Linked DNA regions of Lytechinus pictus. The protein of the gene in region 3 purifies or fractionates together with the protein of the main gene of each other region. This does not show direct contact. Links are inferred from orthologs where the notes say so. Each region holds a gene or a part of one and is shown on either strand. Other genes may lie near its edges. The genes, in order: succinate--CoA ligase [GDP-forming] subunit beta, mitochondrial-like; succinate dehydrogenase assembly factor 2-B, mitochondrial-like; succinate dehydrogenase [ubiquinone] flavoprotein subunit, mitochondrial-like.

Evidence for each region.
Region 1: the proteins of succinate dehydrogenase [ubiquinone] flavoprotein subunit, mitochondrial-like (region 3) and succinate--CoA ligase [GDP-forming] subunit beta, mitochondrial-like fractionate together in Homo sapiens (co-fractionation; 3 studies listed by BioGRID, with this or other methods). This does not show direct contact. The link is inferred for Lytechinus pictus from reciprocal best matches to the Homo sapiens genes SDHA and SUCLG2.
Region 2: the proteins of succinate dehydrogenase [ubiquinone] flavoprotein subunit, mitochondrial-like (region 3) and succinate dehydrogenase assembly factor 2-B, mitochondrial-like purify together in Homo sapiens (co-immunoprecipitation; 3 studies listed by BioGRID and IntAct, counting the BioPlex papers as one, with this or other methods). This does not show direct contact. The link is inferred for Lytechinus pictus from reciprocal best matches to the Homo sapiens genes SDHA and SDHAF2.

What each region holds. Positions count from the first base shown.
Region 1 is NC_087247.1:36,259,882-36,267,019, reverse strand, and holds the start of succinate--CoA ligase [GDP-forming] subunit beta, mitochondrial-like, read right to left. Parts: upstream 3,007-7,138; 5' UTR 2,945-3,006; coding exon 2,879-2,944; intron 1-2,878. UniProt on the Homo sapiens protein: GTP-specific succinyl-CoA synthetase functions in the citric acid cycle (TCA), coupling the hydrolysis of succinyl-CoA to the synthesis of GTP and thus represents the only step of substrate-level phosphorylation in the TCA.
Region 2 is NC_087260.1:13,420,932-13,428,905, forward strand, and holds the start of succinate dehydrogenase assembly factor 2-B, mitochondrial-like, read left to right. Parts: upstream 1-4,898; 5' UTR 4,899-4,921; coding exon 4,922-4,993; intron 4,994-5,896; coding exon 5,897-6,060; intron 6,061-7,096; coding exon 7,097-7,206; intron 7,207-7,974.
Region 3 is NC_087245.1:35,499,916-35,507,485, reverse strand, and holds the start of succinate dehydrogenase [ubiquinone] flavoprotein subunit, mitochondrial-like, read left to right. Parts: upstream 1-4,506; 5' UTR 4,507-4,659; coding exon 4,660-4,731; intron 4,732-7,570. UniProt on the Homo sapiens protein: Flavoprotein (FP) subunit of succinate dehydrogenase (SDH) that is involved in complex II of the mitochondrial electron transport chain and is responsible for transferring electrons from succinate to ubiquinone (coenzyme Q).

The DNA.
Region 1 (7,138 bases), on a different chromosome or scaffold from region 3:
TTATCATAAACTAGTAGATGTTATATCAGTCATGTCAGTGGCGTAACAAGTGAAAATAATTGAGGGTACTACGATATGGCGTATCAGGCAAAATTTATAAAATATATAGTTGCAAGCAAGCGACATAAGCATAATTTTGACTTTTGGTTACAAAAATCCAATTGAACAATTTCGCAAGATTCTCTTACCTTTTCCTTTTTTTTCTTGTTCGTGAATTGGGGGCATGCAAGACCCCACCCCCCCCCCCCCATACAGCACCACTCTTTGTTGTCACTGTCTAAAATTTGATTTAAACTTTGAGAATTTGAATTTCTTATCTAAGTAATCCAAAGGGATAAGACAAAAATATTTGCAGATTACTTATTTCAAAGTATTTTTATACCTATAACTCCCCAACTCTGCTCTAGCTGCACTGCACGTTGCCTAACGGCCTTCCACCAAAGGGCCAGGCCGACTCGCCCCGTGAGCAAGTGACCGCGTTCGCGTAAGTTCACCCGAAGCCATGACTGAATTCTGACCATAAACATCACCTAACTAATCACTCTCTGACAATATTTCAAAGTATCTTTTATTACAGTCGATCCTTTGGGCCATTAAACGATAATATTTCCAATGTTATCATGACAAACAATTTTAATGAGATAGTGGCATTGTAGAAAAAACAAATTTATAAGCACGAAATGGCACCAGATAAATCATCAAACATACAGCGCAGCGTTCGGGACTGGTGAGTGGTACGGCTCTCTTGGAGTTTTCGCCCCGACGAATTCGGCGAAAACGCTACCATTGCGCCGTGCGAATGTTCAATCTGCGGCTCTCAATCAGAGACTTGAATGTCTCTTTTTGCATTATCGAAAATGTATCATAGACTTTGTTTGATTTGTTTACAAGTAAGTTGCATATCCGTCGTGATAATTAGGAAAATCCATGATGTCTTCTTCTAATTCTGTAAAAATTACCTCTTCAAAGTGCCTGTGTCAGAAAATTGCCGGAAATCGTAAAAACTTGCCTAAAATGTCTCTTTTTGAAAGTTCATCCATGGTCTGGAAAAAAATGTTATAATTTATGTAGACGTATACCGTAAACAAATACATCCTCGATCACTGAAATGAAGTGTTTGCTAAGCTTTTATATCTCAGACCGCGTTACCATGGCAACTTGGGAAAACCTTCATTTTTTACTAATAAAATTCTGGTTTTAAGGGTCATTTTAGAGACATAAAACTAACCATATTTTGAAGTATTGGGTTTAAATTTCAGGAACAACTGCAGAATACCCCGCACGACGAGAGCATGGATGTTTGAATCGACCAACGACCTACGATGTGATGAAAGGATGTTGGAACAAAGCCGAGTTGTGACTAAAATTCGAACTTGTTTACGTCAAGCCAACGATTGATTACGCGATTTTTGCATAGGGCATGCCGCCAACGAGCCAACGATGCCAACGTTGTGAGATTGGCATGCTACCAACGAGCCAACGATGCCAACGTTTTGACTTGCGTTGGCTTGCTACCAACGAGCCAACGATGCCAACGATGTGAGTTTGGCATGCTGTCAACGAGCCAACGTTGTGAGTTTGGCATGCTGCCAACGAGCCAACGATGCCAACGTTGTGAGTTGCATTGGCTTGCTGCCAACAACGTTGGCAGCACGTTGTGAGTTTGGCATGCTACCAACGAGCCAACGATGCCAATGTTGTAAGATTGGCATGCTACCAACGAGCCAACGATGCCAACGTTGTGAGTTTGGCATGCTGCCAACGAGCCAACGATGCCAATGTTGTAAGATTGGCATGCTACCAACGAGCCAACGATGCCAACGTTGTGAGTTTGGCATGCTACCAACGAGCCAACGATGCCAACGTTGTGAGTTTGACATGCTACCAACGAGCCGACGATGCCAACGATGTGAGTTTGGCCTGCTGCCAACGAACCAACGATGCCAACGTTGTAAGTTTGGCATGCTGCCATCGAGCCAACGATGCCAACGATGTGAGTTTGGCATGCTACCAACGAGCCAACGATGCCAACGATGTGAGTTTGGCCTGCTGCCAACGAGCCAACGATGCCACGTTGTGACTTTGGCATGCTACCAACGAGCCAACGATGCCAACGTTGTGACTTTGGCATGCTACCAACGAGCCAACGATGCCAACGTTGTGAATTTGGCATGCTACTAACCCTAACCCTAACCCTAACCCTAACCCTAACCCTATGCACATAGTAGGAACATCGTAGGTCGTTGGCTCGCCAACGGTATGCGCGCGATCGCGAGAGTACAAGCATGCGCGCGTGTATTCGTATGGCTCGGAAGTACAGTACCGGTACGGGTCGTATCGTAAAAACTGACAAGACAACGAATCTTCAGCCCGTTCAGGATCGATCACGTCGAGATTGATTCTGATTCTTCACATCGTAGGTCGTTGGCTCGCCAACGTTGAGGTAATGAAATGTGCGGGGTATTCTGCAGTTAAGCCAATATTCACATAAAACTGAATTATCTATGTTTATACTTTCGTATATGAATATTCATATTTCTTGTAGAATCTTAGTTTTTGATTGGTCAATGTTTCAGTCATGGATAATAACTGAGCGTTAAAAAATCTGAAAATGCGCATTTTATCGGCAACCAACAAGCAAGATGGCGGAACACATTAAGTTGGCGCTATGCACGTACGTGGGCCCAGCGCATAAAGTAAAGAGTTAAGAAAGGCCTAGGCTACATAGTTCCCTAGGCATGGGACTGTAATAAAACAATTTTGGAGAACCAGCTAGATCTAACTTTACAATACATATAATTCATTATACTAACAATATATAACTAACTTTTTTTTTATAGATATCAGAAAAATATTTTGGTTAATAGAGTAAACTTACATTTCGCTGGAGGACTGTCTGAAAAGACTGGCGACAGCCTGATATTAACCTTGCAACATGGGCCATTACGAAGGGTGAAAAGGGTGGATCTAAATGGAAAAACCACGAACACAAATTAATTTTAAAATGATGGCGCTATTGCTATTGCTCGAGCTGTCTTTTTCACTGCACTTTCTTGAGCCGGGGCCTTGAGCTAGCTAGGAGGAGGTGTTTTTTTATAGTTTTTTTTAGGGGGTGGGGGTGGTAACTCTCGTATACGAAGCCAGGCTAGAGGACACAGGGACATGTCCCCCATGTTGATAGGCAGATAAAAACAACAATGAAAAAAATATAATAACCGGGTCGGATAAAAATAAAAAAGAGAAGAAGATAATAAGATATAAATATAATGATCCATAATTATGTTGACTGGCCACTATCCACAACTTAGATATTGATGTGTGTTCGAATTTAGGAGATACTTTCTGTCATGCGTGTTATATATATTTTTTTATTGACAAAAAAAAATACGATTGGTTTTGGTTTATTGCTTGCTTGCTTGCTTGATTGGTTTGATTGATTGATTGATTGATTGATTGATTTAATTTGCCAACGGCCATGGTCTGTGAAAAAAAATGATAATGGAAGTAAGCTGAGGAATAATTCACGATAGCTCTGAACTTTTTACAATCATCATAATCATTTTTGTGCTCCCTCTTTATCATCATAGGCATACTTTTTGTCAAATGATTCATCCTAAAATGATGATGTTCAACTAATGGGGGATGATAACATAGGACAACTCACCCGTGACATAAGTTGGGGGATATATCCCCCCCCCCGCGATCTACATCCATGCCCCGAAGCTTATTTCGAGAAGGGCCCTCGACATGTAAGAAAAAATCCATAACAAGGCACTCTGAAGGAATACAAAGTCAATAATACAGGCGTGAAGCGTATAGCTGACATTAAATTTATATATAGGATTGACCTGAAAACTGAACATTTATTGTTAAGCGCTTTTTGATATTGTGAATACAATGCATATGCCACCAAAATGAATAGGCCGACCTAAAGTGACTATTTATATCCTTGAACAGAGTACTTATCCCACTATAGACAAAAATTACCAACGCGAAGAGCGAGCTGTTTCTTTTAACCAACATTCAGACCTATGAACTGCACTATTTATAGGACAAGTCCACCCAAGAAAAATATTAATGTTGATTTGAATCAATAGAACAAAATCTAACAACCATAATGTTGAAAAGTTCATCAAAACCGGATGTGAAAAAAGTTATATGACATTTTAAAGTTTTGCTCATTTTTCACATAATAGTTATATGCACAACTTAGTGACGTGCAAATGAGAGATATGATGATGCCCCTCACTCACTGTTGTTTTTGTTTGAATTATACTATAATTCATTTTTTTGTGTACAAATTTGACAATAAGGCCAACTTGATTGAACCATAATGTTGCCCACGTTTCAGTACAATTCTTCACAAACCAGCTTCCTTTATTCATGGCTCAAACATGTCAAGTTGCCAAGAAACTGAAGAAAGGTTCCAAAACAATATAATTCCACATATTCTGGGGAAAATATGCTCACATTACCATGCTGGATAACATTAAAGAACATTTCATATTTCACAATAAAATAAGGAAATAGTGAGTGCTATAGGTGACGTCATCAATCCCCTCGTTTTGACAGACGAAATTACGCGAAACTTAAAAATTTCATAACTTTCTTATTTTACCTCCGATTTTGATGAAACTTTCAGTGTTAAGCTTGTTGGATTTTTCTCTATTTATTTAAATCAACTTTTTATTGGGGTTGACTTGTTGTTTTGTAATTGTAACACTTGAAATATTATAGTAGCGTGGTGATTGTTCAGTGTTACAAGAATGATGAGACAAATCAATAGTCTGCCACACAATGATTACCATGATTACAGTTCATTAGTATTTTATATTCCAAAGATGATAAATACCAATCATAAGATGTATATACCATAGGAAATATAGCTGGTTATAAAAAGGCTGTTATAATATTAGGTACTCCCCCAACAAAGGCCATATGGTAACCCCTAAAGAGGGATGGCGAGGGAGACCAAGCACGCATGCAGTGTCCTCTCGTCAAGAGACGGAGAAGAGAAGTCCTCTTTTAATTATTTTGGGGGTACATCTCTTAGTTTTGCACCATTAGGGGGGAGGAGTTAAACAATGTATAAACTAATCAGGAAAGAAGGATGGAGCATAACAAAAATGAAAGGGTATTTGCACCTGAAGTCAGGGAGCAATTATCTGGGAAGGAGGTTGGATGGAGGATAAAGTATATTCTCATTATGGTATCTTAGGAGGAATTATAAACACAATGCGGGACATAATGCAAGGATAAGGCCACCACATCAATCTGTGCAAACAGGTGATGGGTGTGTGGTCATTAATTTTGCTCTAAACAAAAGGAGTTGTGTCAATGGACAAAAGAGCATTGAACTTACTTTCGACCAATTTACTATCTGGAGTTTGTGAGTTTACACAAACGTCCAAGCATGTTTAAAAGTATAATCAGTTTTACAAAAATATGGAATGCAGGGTGTTATAATAATCATGAACATGATTTGTAACTGAATGAACCTTACTATAGCTCGATCGAAAATAATCACTGCTTCACCATGTTATCCTCATGAATGCGAATGCATTGGCAAGATTGCTATATATGCTAATTTGCTTCCTCTTCAGATTTTCTTCCTCTTCTTCAATTTCCTTTTTTTTTCTGTTCCCCCCTCCCCCCCCCCCCCCCGTCTCCCCTCGTTTTGTGCAGCCTGTAATAGCGGACCGCTATATATACAGCGTCTCCCTGATCAGCCGAGATGTCTTATAATTCCAATCCCTTAAAGGACAGGTCCATCCAAACAAAAAGTTGATTTGAATAAAAAGAGAAAATGCCAACAAACATAACACTGAAAATTTCATCAAAATCGGATGTAAAATAAGAAAGTTATGACATTTTAAAGTTTCGCTTAAATTCACAAAATAGTTATATGCACATCCCGGTTGGTATGCAAATGAGGAGACTGATGACATCATCCACTCACTATTTCTTTTGTATTTTATTATATGAAATATGAAATATTATAATTTTCTCTTCATTGTCAAGTGAAAAAAAAAACAATAATTCCTCCCTGAACAGGGACCTGGGAAGCGGGGGTGTATGGGGGTGCTGCGTGTATTATTTTCCATAGGCAGCACCCCCACGAAATCGGGTTCCCCCCTGTATTTTTTAAAATATGTTATAATGTACATAATTATCACTTCCGACAATCGCAAATCATTTACATAGTCTTTCACATATTCCAATAACATCCCTCCTATAACGCGACTCAATCAAGCTCCAGCGGGGCAGCACTCCAAAACAGACGGAGTCGCGCGCAATACGTGATAACCATACACACTCTTCGATATCAGGGAAGGACATGGGGGTGGTTGGACTCGAATCAAGTGAGCCCGCGCCCGACCGCCCGTGTATTGTATACAAAAATTAAAAGTCAGATAATATAAATCAAATTTCAGTCTTTTTCGCCCTGCCCCATGGCCCTGGGGGCTGGGAAGCGGGGGTGCTGGGGGTGAAGCAACTCCAAAATTTTAGGGTGCTGCGTGTGTTATTTTCCATAGACAGCGCACCTCCTGGAAATCTAGTGGTAGGTATGATAAATGACAGAAATGTAATGAAAATGAACGACGTTTTGTAGAACCCCCCCCCCCCCCCACTTCAGAATTTTCCGACACATTACTTGAAATAGTGTTTAAATTCACCCTCTTTCAGATCGGAATATCTAATATTTTCTGCTCGCGCTTCGCGCTCGCATTATTGATTTTTATAATAAAAAAAGTGTATTTAGAATGCCCAGATACTAGGTCGAACTCTAAACACGCGCAGGCATGTTTATTCAGATACGCAGCTTGATTGGGGGGGGGGGGTACTCCGGGCTGAAAATATTTATATCAAATACATTTTATCAAAAATGAATAAATTTTATCAAAATCTGATAACCATTAGTTAAATTATTTAATTCTAAAGTTTAGCAATATTTTATGAAAATGGTGATATGCATGTCGTCATAAATATTTCATAGGTGGGCTGATGCTGTGACATTCCCAATATCCTGTTTCTTGTGAAATCAAAATTGTTTCATTTTTTTCATACCAGAGTGAATGATATGTCTCCCTTATAATGAAATAAGTTGCAGCAAATAATATCTTATGGACTAAATCAG
Region 2 (7,974 bases), on a different chromosome or scaffold from region 3:
AGGCATTTTTTCCTACTGGGATTTTTTTATGTAGGGGGTTAAGTGCCCCTGCCGCCCCCCGGTTCCGCCGCCCCTGCTGCTAATATAGCCTCGGGTTATAATTTTTATCTAAGTTCAAACTGGTATTAACAAAAATATGTTGGTATGACTGCATTTTATAACGATGGTTTTCTTTAAAATATATATTTTTTACCATTTCGATCCATCACATTTTTGCATTTTTTTGTCCGTCGATATGCCCAGCGCTGAGAGGTCATGCCAAAACGTGATTTTGCATGAAGTACATTCTCTGAACCATCATCGGAACTTCGGAATCACACAGAGATGGAAGACCCCTTCCCCCAAATAGTTCCGCCTAGCTGTATGTCCTCGAATATATATATATATATTTAATAAGACATCAGAAATGCGAAACACAAATTCACGAGTAATGCAGTTTTTGCAATAAAATTTGTTTTTTATTATATATATATCACCATGATAAGTACGTAATTTTATTATCCGAGCACATGCAGCGGACCGAGGAGGAGTGGGTGGAGGGAGAGGCACCTAGGAGACGTCATACTTGTTCTTGTTCAGTATACTACCATAACAAGTTGAAAAGAAAAATGCAAAGAGAAACTTGGAGGGGGATCGATGTTACATGGTTATAACATGGTTATAACGGGTCGTGTGGTCCAGTGGTTAGAGCATTGGACTCATAATCGCAAGGTTGTGAGTTCGAATCCCAACTCTGCCATTGTCTCCACGTTTGATAAAAAGGCCCGAGAGTGATATCTGTCGTCTATAACGTCAGCCACTATGACTGATTAACCTAGACGTAAAACGTTTCATAGGTAATTGGTTATATACCAGCTTGGCGTTTACCAGCAAAATGCTGTCCTGCCGAGTTCCTATACGGGAGTTACCACAAACAGAAACAGAAACAGAAACATACAGACCTACGCACCGGTATCATAGGCGGATCCAGGAGGCCGACGTTACGCCCCCCCCCCCCCCCCGATATTGGCGGCGCAAAGTAATATGAACGAAAGCAGAGGGGGGGAATATAAGAGGAAGAATGAATAAAAAAAGGTGAGGGGAATTCAGACTTGGGGAGGGGTGGGAGCCAATCATGTCACTACACAAGTATAAAAACAATTTAGCCCGCGCTTTGTGTTCGCATTGCCTGTTCGATGGAACATATATTCATCTATACCAATTCATTTATTGATTTATTCATTCAGTCATGGTTAAACAGGTTCACAAGTTCAGAGTTATTAGTATATAAAATCATAGTAACAAGTACAATGACAAGGTATAATTCATATCGAAATAGTATGAGACAGAAAGAAATATTAACTGATCAATGTAATACAAAACACGGAAACATTGTTGAAGGGCTTATAGTAAAACGAACAAGGGAACTAAATAGGCCTTTACTTATTCAAATTTTTGAGCACCTTATCCGTCAGTGTGCATCTTAATTGTTTAATGATCATATTGCTCAGATCAATTTTCAGGACACAATACACAGTCCGAAAATAATACCTCACGCTCGCATTTTTTATAGGGTTTAGTACTGTTACGACTATAGATTCCAACAAAAACTAGCTTTGAGCTGCCGATCGATCGGGAAAAATGTGGATGAAAATATTGTTCACCCCGGCCCCGTTATTAGTGAAAGCTGGATCCGCCCCAGAATATATTGTTTAAAAAAAAAAGGCATAGGCCACGCGGTATTTGTCATTTTTTTTGTGATAAATACATTGAGGCAGTATATTGACAAATAATCACTGGAAGAGAAAGAGCATCTTATAGGCCTATATAACGCACAAAGCAAAATAATGAAGAATGGCGGCAAAGCTAGTTCAATACAAAATGATTTCCTTTTCCTTTAAAAAAAATGTTACAACACGTTATAATAATGAACAAATCAAAATACAGAACCTGAAGAAATTGATAACGATTCAGTGAATCGGAATCGAAACAAAAATGCGTATGTAAATATAATTATAAAATAGAAATAAAAAACGGGAAAAAAAATAAGAATAGCCCTTTCACAAGCAACCATAATTCTCCCTCCCTTCATACCCTGGACAAGTAAAGAAAAAAAAATACAGCTAGAGAAACGAAGCAAAGATGAAAAGCAAGGAAAGGGAAGGAAGCCGTCTCTCGGTACCTGGTACTCTGCCCAGATATCAAGATGTACGTAGGACCTATTCTCCGCGATTTGAAAAACAACGTGCATAACATCACAATTATTATGATGGTCATTTAAAAAAGTTCCTTGGTTGTTTCCAAGTTATTTAATTTGCCGTCGAGGGACTGCGCGAATGCACACGCTCCTACAGGATATGAATGAAAAAGTCGCAAACAGACTCCGCCGTTCAATCCGATACTGTACTGTATAGCCGGTATACAGATCGGCACGTGAGACAAGCGCAGAGGCGATGGATATGAATATTCATGAGCAGGTATTGATGTCATTTGGTCTCAAGGTGGCGCTCTTCATTTTTATATCAATTTCAAAATCTGCATCAAAAGAAAGCTCACTTGGCAAAATTTCTCTTCTTTATATATTTTTTTGAGAATAAAAACAGTTCTTTTGGCCAATGCAATACATTTTATGGACTCAGAACTTGTTTATGAGTATTTTGAAAAGCGAAGAGTGAAATCTAAAAGAAAGTTTTGAAATAAACCAATGTCACAATTTACCTTTAATCTTATATTACAAATCAAAAACTTTATAAAAAAAACGGAATTAAGTCCTACATGTATGCCTATGTGAGCCTTCCACCTACTGAGAAAAATTGGTAAATGAATTATGATGGGGGGCCCCATGTCTGTGCACCTAAAATTTTACTTTAAGATTGAACCTGAATTTCTTTTTATTCCACAAAAAAAATCAGTTGATAATGTTCCTAATATTCTTATAAGTGTGCCAAAAATCTCACAAAAATTGGGGAGAAAAATATTTGATTTTCTTGGAAAAAACCTTGGCTGGTCATTAATAGATTGAACAAAAAAGTGGTGGGAAAGAGTTCCTCTTGCGACAGCCACCCAAAATAACAAGATTGTCGAGACTTCCGGTTCAATCACTTTTTTTTTTAAAGGTGTTTTTACCTTAGCTGGGACTCGAACTCACATTGTTGTAATTGCAGTCAAGATTCTTCCCGCTATGCTAGCAAGAAGCGCTGATACCCGAAGGGGTTTTCTAGCGATCATAAGACAATACTTCGACTAGTCTATTAGGCTTTCAGACCCTTTACTGACCAACTTAACCGATGTCTATGGACAATTACATGCACTCGATTCTCCTCGAAAATTTGACGGAATAGAGCCTTATTTTGGTATGTATGGTGAGACTACCACATATCGACCACCTCTTTTTAAACCGACCACCTTGCGCGCGTTAAAATTATTGCGTATTACAAACGATACGTGCGGGAGAGTAGGCGCAGTGTCCATAGAAAAGGTAAGAATCGATTTTACGAGAAAAAAAAGGAGCAACAAGAAGTAAAAATTTAGTAGAATTAATCAAAATTGTATTGACCAGACCCAAACCCCGCTGAAAAACCAAGAAATCTGATAGGAAATGGCTCTAGAACTAATATCCGTCGTCAATCGTCGAATCATGTGCCGGAGCTCGCAGTGGAAGTAGTGAGACGATCATTTAGCATGTTGACATCATAGAACTGATTTGGAAGAGTAAAAATATTTCGCCACCGCGACAAGAATCGGTCGTAAACTTAATGTACCGCGGGTGGTCGGTTTCAAAAGACGGGTGCAAATGAGCAAATGTAAAATCGTTGTATTCGTTGGTCGTCGATATATACGCGGATTGAATCGGAGTCGCCGAGCGAAACATGGGAATCTGATCTGCTCAATTTTCTGCACAAATGAGACGAAAACTGGGTAAAATTGATGAATATTTTCGCAGATACGATGCTTAGAAGATTAGGTGGTCGATAAGGGGTAGTTCCAACCATACTTCCACTCTCCCATCATACATGTTCTATATCAAGGCTAGATATATTATTTTGAACCTTCTCCATATTTTTATTTTCAATATTCGGTGGCTGTGCCTGTGGCAAAAGGAACTCTTCCCAGGCTGTCACATGAAATGCCCGAAATTCATTAATATTTTTCCACCATTTTGAAGTTGAGTCGGATTTTTCAAAAAGAACAGCGGATTTTTTCACTTTTAATTTATATTTCATGAATGAGTCGCCACTCGCCAGTCTGTAATTTACCATCTTTTTCACCCTTTGGCTTTGCTTTGGCTTTACTTTAGTTTAGGCTTCAAGACTTGACACCTGCTAGACTGAAATTATTTCTGCTAAGTCACCTGCCGAACTTCAATCAGCAGAAACTTACTAATACTTAGTAATAGTAATTACTAACCTCGCAATACGTGTGAGTGGGCCGGGCCGAACGAAACGGGCGAAACAAGAGCGAGATCTCGAACTGAATTTTCCAACACAAAAACACACACTCGGGACTACACATAATAAGTCGATCAAGTTTTTTTAGTCCATAAACAATCACCTCATTTCGATCGAATGCGACACCGAAACACCACACGCTCTGCACCCGCCAATCATATTACTCCAAAATATATATTTAAATGAAAATTGAACACCAAAGGACCAAAAAAATCATTTAAAAAGATATATAAAATACCTGCTCAAGTCATTCAACGAAAAAATATTGTTTTCAGCTGTTGCTATGTTATTTTCGAAGAGGTAAAAATTAAGTCACAAATTACTCATTTAAGATTTCAAATCTATTCATTTTCATTATCAAAATAATAAATAACATGAAAATAAATATTTTACCAGTGACAAATGTGATTTAAATATATTTTTTCCGAGTTTAATTTCTACTTATATAAACAATTATAAAACTTTGTTTTATCCCAGAATGCAATTCCGTAAAAATGGCATCTTATGTAAGTCGTCTGCTGCGACCATCTCGTCGAATTCTTTCAAATTTTGAGAGAAAATCTTTCGTAAGTTTTAATTTTTTACTCATTTCATTAATATTTTTCACTCAATCAAAGTTGTAGTGACTTTCCAAACACTTTTTTTACCTTTCTAAAAGTGAATTGAAGTTTTATTTGGTCAGGAAAATGACTACGGTCCCATGTGTCCGAAATGGTGTCGCCATAACTCTACCTCTCTAACAACAATGAATGAAGCACCAGACTTTGATCATGTCCCCACCCTTTTATTTATTATGAATCATAATTAGATTTATTTCATGTTTTAAATATAGATCTAGATGTCGACTATGTGTGCATGTTAAGCCTCTCTTGTAGTTGTACACTTTGTTTTTTCCGTTCTCGGACTGTCTACTTGGTGGATACACATTTTGAATAAATATATTTTCATCTGTTCATAGATATAGAGAATAATACAAAAGAATAATAAGTGAGGATATAACATCATCTGTATTGTTAAGTCAGCAAAATATCAGGATTGGTACATCAATAATTTGCTCATCGAATATTCATGAAGACGACATGTCACATGCATAGAAATATTTCACCAAAGACAAAGTAATGCAAAGCTTTTTAAAATTAAAATGTCACAATAACATAAATTTGTTAGCTAGGCCTCTATCTTTTCTGATTTTAATGAAATTTCCATTGTTTTGTTTAATTGTCTTGTTTAATTGTCAGATTTTACTGTATCTGTTCAAATCAATAATTTCAGCTTAGAATATCTCTTTAAACCACTATAATTAACCTTTCATTAATTTAGAAGTTTTTTGCTCTTTTACTTTTGATATTTTGTGTAGTAAGTATTTTTCCATTAGATCTGCCAAGTAATGTAAATAATTTGTGCCAGATAGATACATGGGCTTGATCAGTCAGTTCTAAGTATCTTTTATTTCCTTTTATTCGTATCAGGTATTAAGAGAGACGGCATCCATGAGTACATATCAGTCTCCTTCAGGTGAACCCAGTATTCCAGAGTGGAAGCAGCCACAGAATGAAACCATTGAGCTGAAAAGAGCAAGGCTCATTTATCAGAGTCGTAAAAGAGGAATGTTGGAAAATGGAATTATTCTAAGGTACTTTTGACATGCATCACCATTTTAAAGAGAAATTCCAGTAGTTGTAGTAAACACTGATTTCATGAGAAAGTCTGTAAAACCAGGCTTAATTGTCAGTATATCATCGAGGATCTAGATCTGGTACAGTTACATAAACTGAACTTTGTGAAATCTTGAAATCTACGCTGAAAAATGTTCAGACTGAACTTCCCCAACACAGATAAGCGCACGTGGGACTGTGTATAATTATTGCTTTGAGCGTCGGGCCCGACGCTCTACCCGAATCCTGTGCTTATTTGCTGATTTCTCAGCAATTACACAATTTCTTCTAGAATCCTTTGGCACATGCGTTTCATTTATACAAACAGACACTTTGGTGGTCATTTCATTGGATTCTGTACGAACTCATTTTGATATCGTTACCAAAACTAGCATTTACCTTTAAATGGATGTCTCATTTAGGTCATTCCAATATTCACATGTGATGCATTTAAACAAATGATGTTTGTACATTGTAAGGAAATAGTATAAAAATTGGTGATTGATATTTCAACCACATCTTATTTCTAAGCCCCCTCACAGTCATCGAAGACTTTTTCTTATAGAATAAATCCGCGCTGAGCAATAATTATTCTGTTTGGCAACAAACAACTTCTCATGCTTCATTTTCATTTTTGAAATATTCTTATTCAATTACAGTAAATCAAATACAGTAATCTGTATTCCTAATCCCATCTCTTCTGCTCCATGTCCAAATCTCTCTTTCCTCTCTTCCCCTATTTTCTGCCTCTGTTTCTTCCTCTCACTCATCCTTTCTTAACTCAGCATACATTTATCCCCTGTCTATTGAATCCCTACTCAGTTTTTTTTCTATAAGATATTTTTGATAAAGACATCAGTCCAAATGTTGATCCCGAGCTAGCTGCCATGTTCATATTTGACCACTGAATATATGAATATATACTGTCTGATATGAGTATTGTGTATTGTTTAATGTATAGTGAAATGATCATGTGTCACTAATCTTTAATCTCACTTTGTTTACACATTACAGCACATTTGCTGGTCGTTATCTAGAGGGATTTGATGAAGAGCAACTTGACCAGTATGATAACCTGATCAATAAGCCTGGCAATGATTGGGATCTCTTCTATTGGGTAGTTGGTAAGTTAACACATCAACTCCTGAATTATATTATTCCCATGACCTTTGCATAGGGACCATGCATACAACAGACCTATAGCTTGATGTGTTATCCAATGCTTTACCAGATTAGCAACAACAACCAAAAAAAAAAGTTAGGGACAAGCACCAATATTACTTAAAACATATTTGAAGGAAATATCTGAAAGAAAATTGTCATATTATATTCAGAAATGAAAACCCCCAAATATTCTACTAGAAATAATGATTCTATTGGTGTTGAAGTCTGGTTTACATGTGATCAATCCTTTTTTTAATATTTTTTTTAATAGTTTTAAAACTTGTTTCGACATAGAAGTTGTAGAATTTATGTCAAACAACCTTTATGCTACTATTTAAGCAGGGAATATTCTTAGTTTACTTTTAACCATAGATGACTCACTATCATTTTTATAAGTCATTCTCTGACAAAAATAAGCTGCAAAAGAGCTTCTATTGGGTTCAATACAAAATATAGTTTGAAATCAAAAGAATTAAAAAAAAACAGCCTCCATAATAATAAGCCTTTTAGTTTTTCAGGAATTGGTTTCCACTTTTGGTTTTGGCTTTCCCTGGCCACTTTTCTGTTCTTTTGTATCAATTTATGAAAATCATTAAAAAAGATAACATATTAATGTACTGAAATTAAATTTATACATGTAGATACATTGCATTTCAAGAAATGATTTATAGTCAATTAAAAATAAATAGTGTAGTTATAATTTGTATTATTGTATAAATGAATAAATT
Region 3 (7,570 bases):
TTCCTGAAAGTAGAATTAAGTTTCGATGAAATACTGTTATCAAGTTTTCGTTTATTTGTTTATGTTTCAAAACTTGTACAAATGTTGGTTTGTACTACTTTGCATTTTTGTTTCCAGCACAGGGGCCGCGGAACAGGGGGGGGGGGCTGGGGGGCCCCCACTTTTTTCAAAACCGTGTACCAAAATGTAAAAATGACCATATGATTGTGATTTTTATCATGGTCAGCCCCCCCCCCCCCCACTTTTGGCTCACCCCCCCCCCCCACTTTGAAAACCGTTCCGCGGCGCCTGCAGCAAGAATATTAACAGCTGCCAATGATGTTCTAATAAATTCATTCAAAGGTGCATGTGTTCCCCCCCCCTTTTTTTGAGAGAGAGTCACAGCAATTATTATTCATTTTAATGGGAATATGTCGTTCATAAATAAGTGGGTATTTTTTTTTCTTGCTTGTCCAATTTTATGTGAGACAAAATTACCTTCATTTTTTTAGTGAAGCTTTTTTTTTTGGCTTGTCAAATTTTCCTAGGGAAAATGTGACTCCCCTTTTGGAAAATCTTGGACCCGTCCCAACTAGAGGGAATTTTTATGCCTAAGTAAATCTTGAAAAACAACATTTTGGACACTGATTGCAGTCAATGTTCCGTGACATTACACTGAGTAATATAATTATTCATCCCTATTTCATGGAAGCGTTGTTGGTTGGTTGGTTTTAGAGATGATGGCGCTATTCCATCGATATCGATGATTTACGCCAGGCTAAATAAATTTAGTTGGTAGGAAATTCTTTTCGGGAAGCAGGAGAGAAGTAAAGGTAAATATCAATTAATTAATCATGTTTTGATTTTGTTAAATATCTTATTTACAAAGACCGAGAATAAAAAAAAACCCTCCTTCATTGAATGAAATAAAAAATAGTATTAGGGGGATCAAAGAGTTACAATCCATTTCTCTAAATGGGAATACTTAAACATTAGACCATGCACTAACTGGAGCCCAGAGCCAGTTCTCCTCCGGATAGGGGATGGGGTGTTTTAGGGAGGATGGGGGGGGGGTAGGGTCCAGGGCTGAGTTTGTTGTTGGGATTGAATAAATCTGATTGAAGAGGCCGAGGTTATGTTTTTTTTTAATATGCTGATGGCTTCAATTCGTTTAGGATTTATTAATATTTGAACATTTTTGCTCGCCTGCTCGCTTCAACCGCTTTCAACTTTTTTTGGGGGGCAGAAATTTTGCCTATATGCCATGCTTGGCCCCTCAAATTTTTGAAATAGCCCATTTGGATATTGAAGATTGTGTTCAAGTTTACCAAATATCATTAAGAATGAAAACATTCTTGTTGGCTAAAGAAAATAATACTAGGAAAATCCTAATGGAATAGAAATCAACCTTGTTATCACTCTTTAGAGTTTAGTTACATGTATTTTCAAAGTATGAAAATTGTTGTCAAAATTGCAGTCAGATCTGTCAAAATTATTCCTGTCATCAAATCACTTTAATCTTTATCATTATCATTATTACCATCATTATTATTAATATTGTCATAATCATTCATGACACGTTACCAATAAATAATGTTATTTTTCATCACTGCTGTTTTCTTGGTGATAATTACAATTATTGATGGCACTATAGCTGCTGTATAGTACACTTACTACTGCTACTGCTGACTGGTACTATTGACTAGGATAGTGTCATTAGATATACAGAACGATTGAAACATGTATAATTACTTATATAAAAGCAATGCAAAAGTATAAAATACAAAATGCTTTGAAAAAGCCTTGAAATTTCAAGGCTCAAAGTCATCAAGGCCAAATAAGCTTTGAAAAGTAGGCCTTAAAGGGATGGTCCAGGCCGAAAGTATTTATAGCTTAATAAATAGAGTCAAATTCACTAAGCAAAATGCCGAAAATTTCATCAAAATCGGATAACAAATGACAAAGTTATTGAATTTTAAAGTTTAGCAATATTTTCTGAAAACAGTCGTCATGAATATTCATTAGGTGGGCTGATGATGTCACATCCCCACTTGTTCTTTTGTATTTTATTATACGAAATTAGGTTTATTCACATTTTTTCCTCCAAGAACTAGAAAAATTGGATTGACAACTGATTTAGTGCATTAGATATTTATTGCTGCAACTTATTTCATTATAAGGGAGACATATTATTCGCACAAGTATGAAATATTGAAAAAAATATGATTTCATGCAATAACATAAGAAAACGGAAAGTGGAGATGTGACATCATTAGCCCACCTAATGAATATTCATGAAGACTGTTTTCACAAAATATTGCTAAATTTTAAACTTCAATAACTTTATTACTTGTGAGGATCAGTACAAAATATCCTGAAATACTAATAGCATGATTAGCAAAGAGGGATATGAAATCAAAAGATATGACTCGATGGCACGGGCAATAATGGCGGGAAAATGGGGGAAAAGAGGCAAAAAGAAACTGGAAATGAGGGTAGAGCTAAAAGCTAGATTGGAAAACCAGAATATGAAGAAAATGGACAAGAAAAAAAATTATTATAATAACACGATCGGGCTGCCGAGGATTGAAAAATATGAAGAACGGGAAGAAAGGTGGATGGCGTTTGTTATAAGCTTGCTAAATTTTAGGCGATAATGGTCGCAATCAGGACCCAAAAATCCTTAGCCAAGGGCTAGTTATATCCTTTGTATCATTGTATGTTATGTCCTAACCTAAGTAAAGCCATTCGCTGGCAAGATTTACCGTAAAAAGCCTGTTTTTGTTTGGCTAAATTTCCAAATCTACTATCACATGATTAGAATTTCATTTCAAAATCATTTAAAAAGGCAAAAAAAAATCTGGCTCGCTTCGCTCGCTGGCGACTTTTACAAATATTTCCACATTAGCTACTTGTTCTGCCTCAAACTATTTCGTAAATGTTGTCATAAGCATCCTACTAAAGCTGCAAAGTGCTCCAAAACAGCTGTTTCGTTCTTTAAAACATTCTCATCCATTCACTGTTAGCTCCCAACATTTTTTTTAATCTTTCATGTCATTATATAAAATTATAAATTCGCTCGCGCTACGCGCTCGCATGTAACTGTTGACTGAGATAAGCAAATTATCTGTTCACATGGGGCTTAAAAATCCAATGTTCAAGTCAATATGCTTCTCGCGATTAGAGTTTTCATTATTCCTTTTATAGCGAGATACACATCCTGCGTATTCATAATTTTCATAAATCAAAACTTTATTTTCAGCTCCCGCTACGCGCTCGCATCAATTGTTTATAAATTAGGTAGCCATCCAGTTAATGACTACAAAAAGTGCTTAGAAAGTCCAGTCATCATCTCAGGATATCAAAAAATTTCAGCTCGCTCTTCGCGCTCGCATTATTTCATCTGGTGAGATATCACCTTCATGACCCAGTGCAAACAGCTCGCTTCAAGTCCCTTTTCCTGTTATAGGGTCTACATGTGTACATAAAAAAAATAGGTCGCGCTTCTTGCTCGATTTTAAGAAATAGGCAAAATATTTGAGTATTGCCCCCCCCCCCCCCCACACACACAAATGTTCTTTTGCCTCCCCCGAGTTAAAATTCCTTGTAATGCCATTACCCCGAACCCGATCCGCATAGCACTGGCCCCAAAAGTTATGCAACCGAGAACAAATAAGAAAAGATGAAAAATATAAAGGAAAGGAAAGGAAGATGTAAGATATGATGTTATTTTCTGAATACCTTGTCAAAATCAATCTCAAAGTTAGATTTTCATAAAAAGGTTATTTTGTTCACGCTCGCTTGGGACTTTTTTGAAATTTTTGCTCCGCGCGCCATGCTGTGCCCTCTCTTTTTTTTTGTACTTATCACCATGGACGGAAATCTGTCCCCAAAGGTAGGGGGACCAGGGCTGCAAAATTTGATAAGCAAAAAAAAAAAAAAAAAAAAAAGTTTTTCACCCAAAATGTAAGGTCATTTAAACAAAAATATTTGACAAGCAAAAAAAAAGGTTTTCACCCAAAATATATACAAGGTCATTTAGTCCAAATACATGTATTATTTCGATTGTGAAGAATGACGTATTTCTAACCATCATAACAGAACAAAAATAGTAGGGCCAGACATTCGATACTGTGTCCCCCTACTATTTTTGGTAGGGGGACGCGTCCCCCCTGGGATTTCCGCCCATGCTTATCACGCATTGAGCTTCACCCTAATGCTCGGGCCCCATTCTTCTGAACCAATAAGTCTATTGCGATCCTAACTCTAACCCTGTGCAAATGTCGCAGGAACCTACGTCGCACATCCTTCCCATCCTTGCATATTGTGCACACAAAAAAACGGGACAAAAAACCCGGAAAAAAACCCAATAAAAGGGCCTCCTTCCCCGCCCCAATTCCTCAAGCATTATTATGTAACGAGAATTGTGACAAGTTTCGTAAGTGGCTTTCGCTGACTCCACCAGTATCACCGAGTTTATACGCAAAACGAACACCCGCTAGTGTAGCGCTAGCGCTGAACGAACACAAGCGAAATCCGATATGCAGGATATTTCATAATAGAAATTTGAGCCGAGCAAATTGGGAAGCCGGGACGAAGACGACAGGAAAAGATTAGAAACCTATTTAAATATCTGTGGAAAATAGATTTGAGTGATTGCAGTGTTGTCTCCTTCAATAAATGACAATGGCAAGTCAGCTTGGAGTGAGATTATGGTCAGCTGCAAAGAAAATCGACATATTCCCAAAACTTGTAAGTACCGCGGTACGATCTACGCTACCTCGAGCGAAGTTCGTGCAGGCTCCACTCCACTTCACTACCGCTACACTACGCTTCACCTACCCGAACTTCGAGACCATGAACTCGATCGGATATTCCTAGTGACAAAAGGTGGGATTTTATGGGAAGAAAATACAAAATTCATGCAACATTACGATCTTTAAAAACAAGTGCAACTAATATTCTTACTTTACACAAAGTTTCACTTCTTTTCCATGCTTCTATCACTTTTTATCAGTCTCAAAATTGATGATTTAGAGCCAACATGAAGTTCCTCACACGTATAATATTAATGCGCTGCCGACTTCAAAACATCGCATGCGGGAGGTACCGGGTCTGGTCCGAGCTCGGACCCTCGCGCGCATGCGATGTTCTGAAATCGGCAGTGAATTATTACGTGTGAGGAACTTCATGTTGGCTTTAAATCATCAATTTTGAGACTGATAGAAGCATTGAAAAGAAGTGAAACTTTGTGTAAAGTAAAAATATTAGTTTTACTTGTTTTTAAAGATCGTGATGTTGCATGAATTTTGTATTTTCTCCCCATAAAATCCCACCTTTTGTCACTCGGAATATCTGATCGAGTTCATGGTCTCGAAGTTCGGGTAGGTGGAGCGTAGTGAAGTGGAGTGGAGCCTGCACGAACTTCGCTCGAGGTAGATCTACGCGATCAACACGTACGTACTCACTGACACTGCCACTGCTACAGTGCTGGCAACGGCTCGACCGTGGCCATGTCGATGCGCTCAGGCCAGTGGCCGAATTCTGAAAATGACGTATCTTCAGAGTCAGTGGTGGACCGTGACCCAAAGCCAAGGGGACAAATGATTGGAGGGGCACTGACACTGTATTCTTTGTGAACAATGCTGCATGCTGTACCCCTCCAATCAGTATAGAGCCGGAGGCGCACGGCCAATATGGGAGACTGTCTCCCAAGTCAAGAGAGGGATTATCTCCAATATCAGAGACTTTTGTAAATAATTTGGGTATCCAATTTCAGAGACAGTCTCCAGTTTGGGAGACCAATTTCCTTTGTTTACATTTGCTGCAAAAGGTTTACCTCGGCGGCAAATAAAACTGTGATTGGCAGATTCCTCATGAAAAATTACCCCTTTTCACCATCTACTTAAAAAAATTAACCATCTACTTTTGTTTTGATAAGGATTTTTGTTGTCATCCACACACAAAACAAATGGGCTTCTGACCCAAGTGAGACAAAATTTTGGGTGGAAAAAATAACGCTTTTGACTTTTGTTGGTGTTTCTTTTGTTCTTTTGCAAAGCAAGTCTCCAATATGGGAGATTGTCTCCCCTATTGGAGAGAGTCTCCCATATTGGCCGTGCGCCTCTACTGTTGTGCCAATGGCAATGCTTTGTGATTTTGTCTCCTCCGGGTTAGCCAGGCGGCTTCTAGAGAGTAAAAATCATTTACTAACGTAAGGTTACTCATACGAAGCCAGGCCTTCTATCTCATAGACCCACACAGAGCCAGCCAAAACCTGAAACTTTCACCCCCGAGATTTCTACTTTCCTTCTAAAAGATCTAGCTCTAAATCATGTACATGTCGCGTAACGTTGGGGAAGTACAATAAGAAACAAGATGGCGGCGTAAACATCGGGCAAGTCTCTTCCGTCTTTTCACAATATTTTTTCATTTTTTTGATGAATTCTTGTTTTAAAAATAACAACGAGAGCGTAGAAATGTCGGAAATTAAGTTTTATCCCATGTACATGTTTTAGAGCTAGATCTTTTAGAAGGAAAGTAGAAATCTCGGGGGTGAAAGTTTCAGGTTTTGGCTGGCTCTGTGTGGGTCTATGAGATAGAAGGCCTGGCTTCGTATGAGAGTAACCTTACGTTAATAAATGATTTTTACTCTCTAGAAGCCGCCTGGCTACTCCGGGTAACGGTCCGCCACTGTCATGACTGTTCAGAGTTATAATAAAATCTAGCCTTGAGTTGAGGACTCCATGTCTGATATTTTTTAATAATAGTATTTTGACATATACTTCTTCAGACATGGAGCCTTGAACCGCCTGCCATCATAGTCATGATAGAGACACATGTAAACAAAGTGGATTTCCCTAGGAAATCCATCTTTTAAGATAAAAATCACGTAAATATTTTTGATTTTATTTATTTTTAAACTTTTAACCCCTTCATATGCATTAGGCCTTTGAAGGTTCATGCCGGCATTGCTGTGAGGATCCATGTCTATATGTGACTGGGGCAGTCAAATATATTCCTGTACACACGCGTGACCAAGGAATTTCCAAACACCCCCTAAACAAGTTTTTCTCTGTGTCTGTGTGCAAAATGACCCCCTAAACAAGTTTTTCGCAGGCTAAATACATTTTGGCCCCTAAACAAGTGTCGCCAAAATATGACCTCAGGGAAAAAATTACCCTAAACACGTTTGGCTAGTCTTTAAAAGAAAAAAGCTTTGGGGGAAAAAACATACCCTAAATACGTTTGACCCCGCGATTGACCAGTCTTTCAAAACCACCCTTTTTCTTGAATATCTGTGTTTTCGATACCCTTAACCAGGGCTCGACACTAGCGCCGGTCCGACGGTCCCAGACCGGTAAAAATCACTGTCGGACCAGTAGATTTTCAGAAATAGCAAGATTTACTGGTCCGACATAAACAGTAATAAAAACTATTGTTGGGCCAGTAACTTTTTCAGAAATGGTCAAATTCGCTAGTCCAACATAAACATGAAAAATATTCCATGACTCAAATTGCGAACCATTTTCCTCCCGTTAAATTCTGGCATTCACACACAGAACACACACAGAATGAATCGCATGCAATT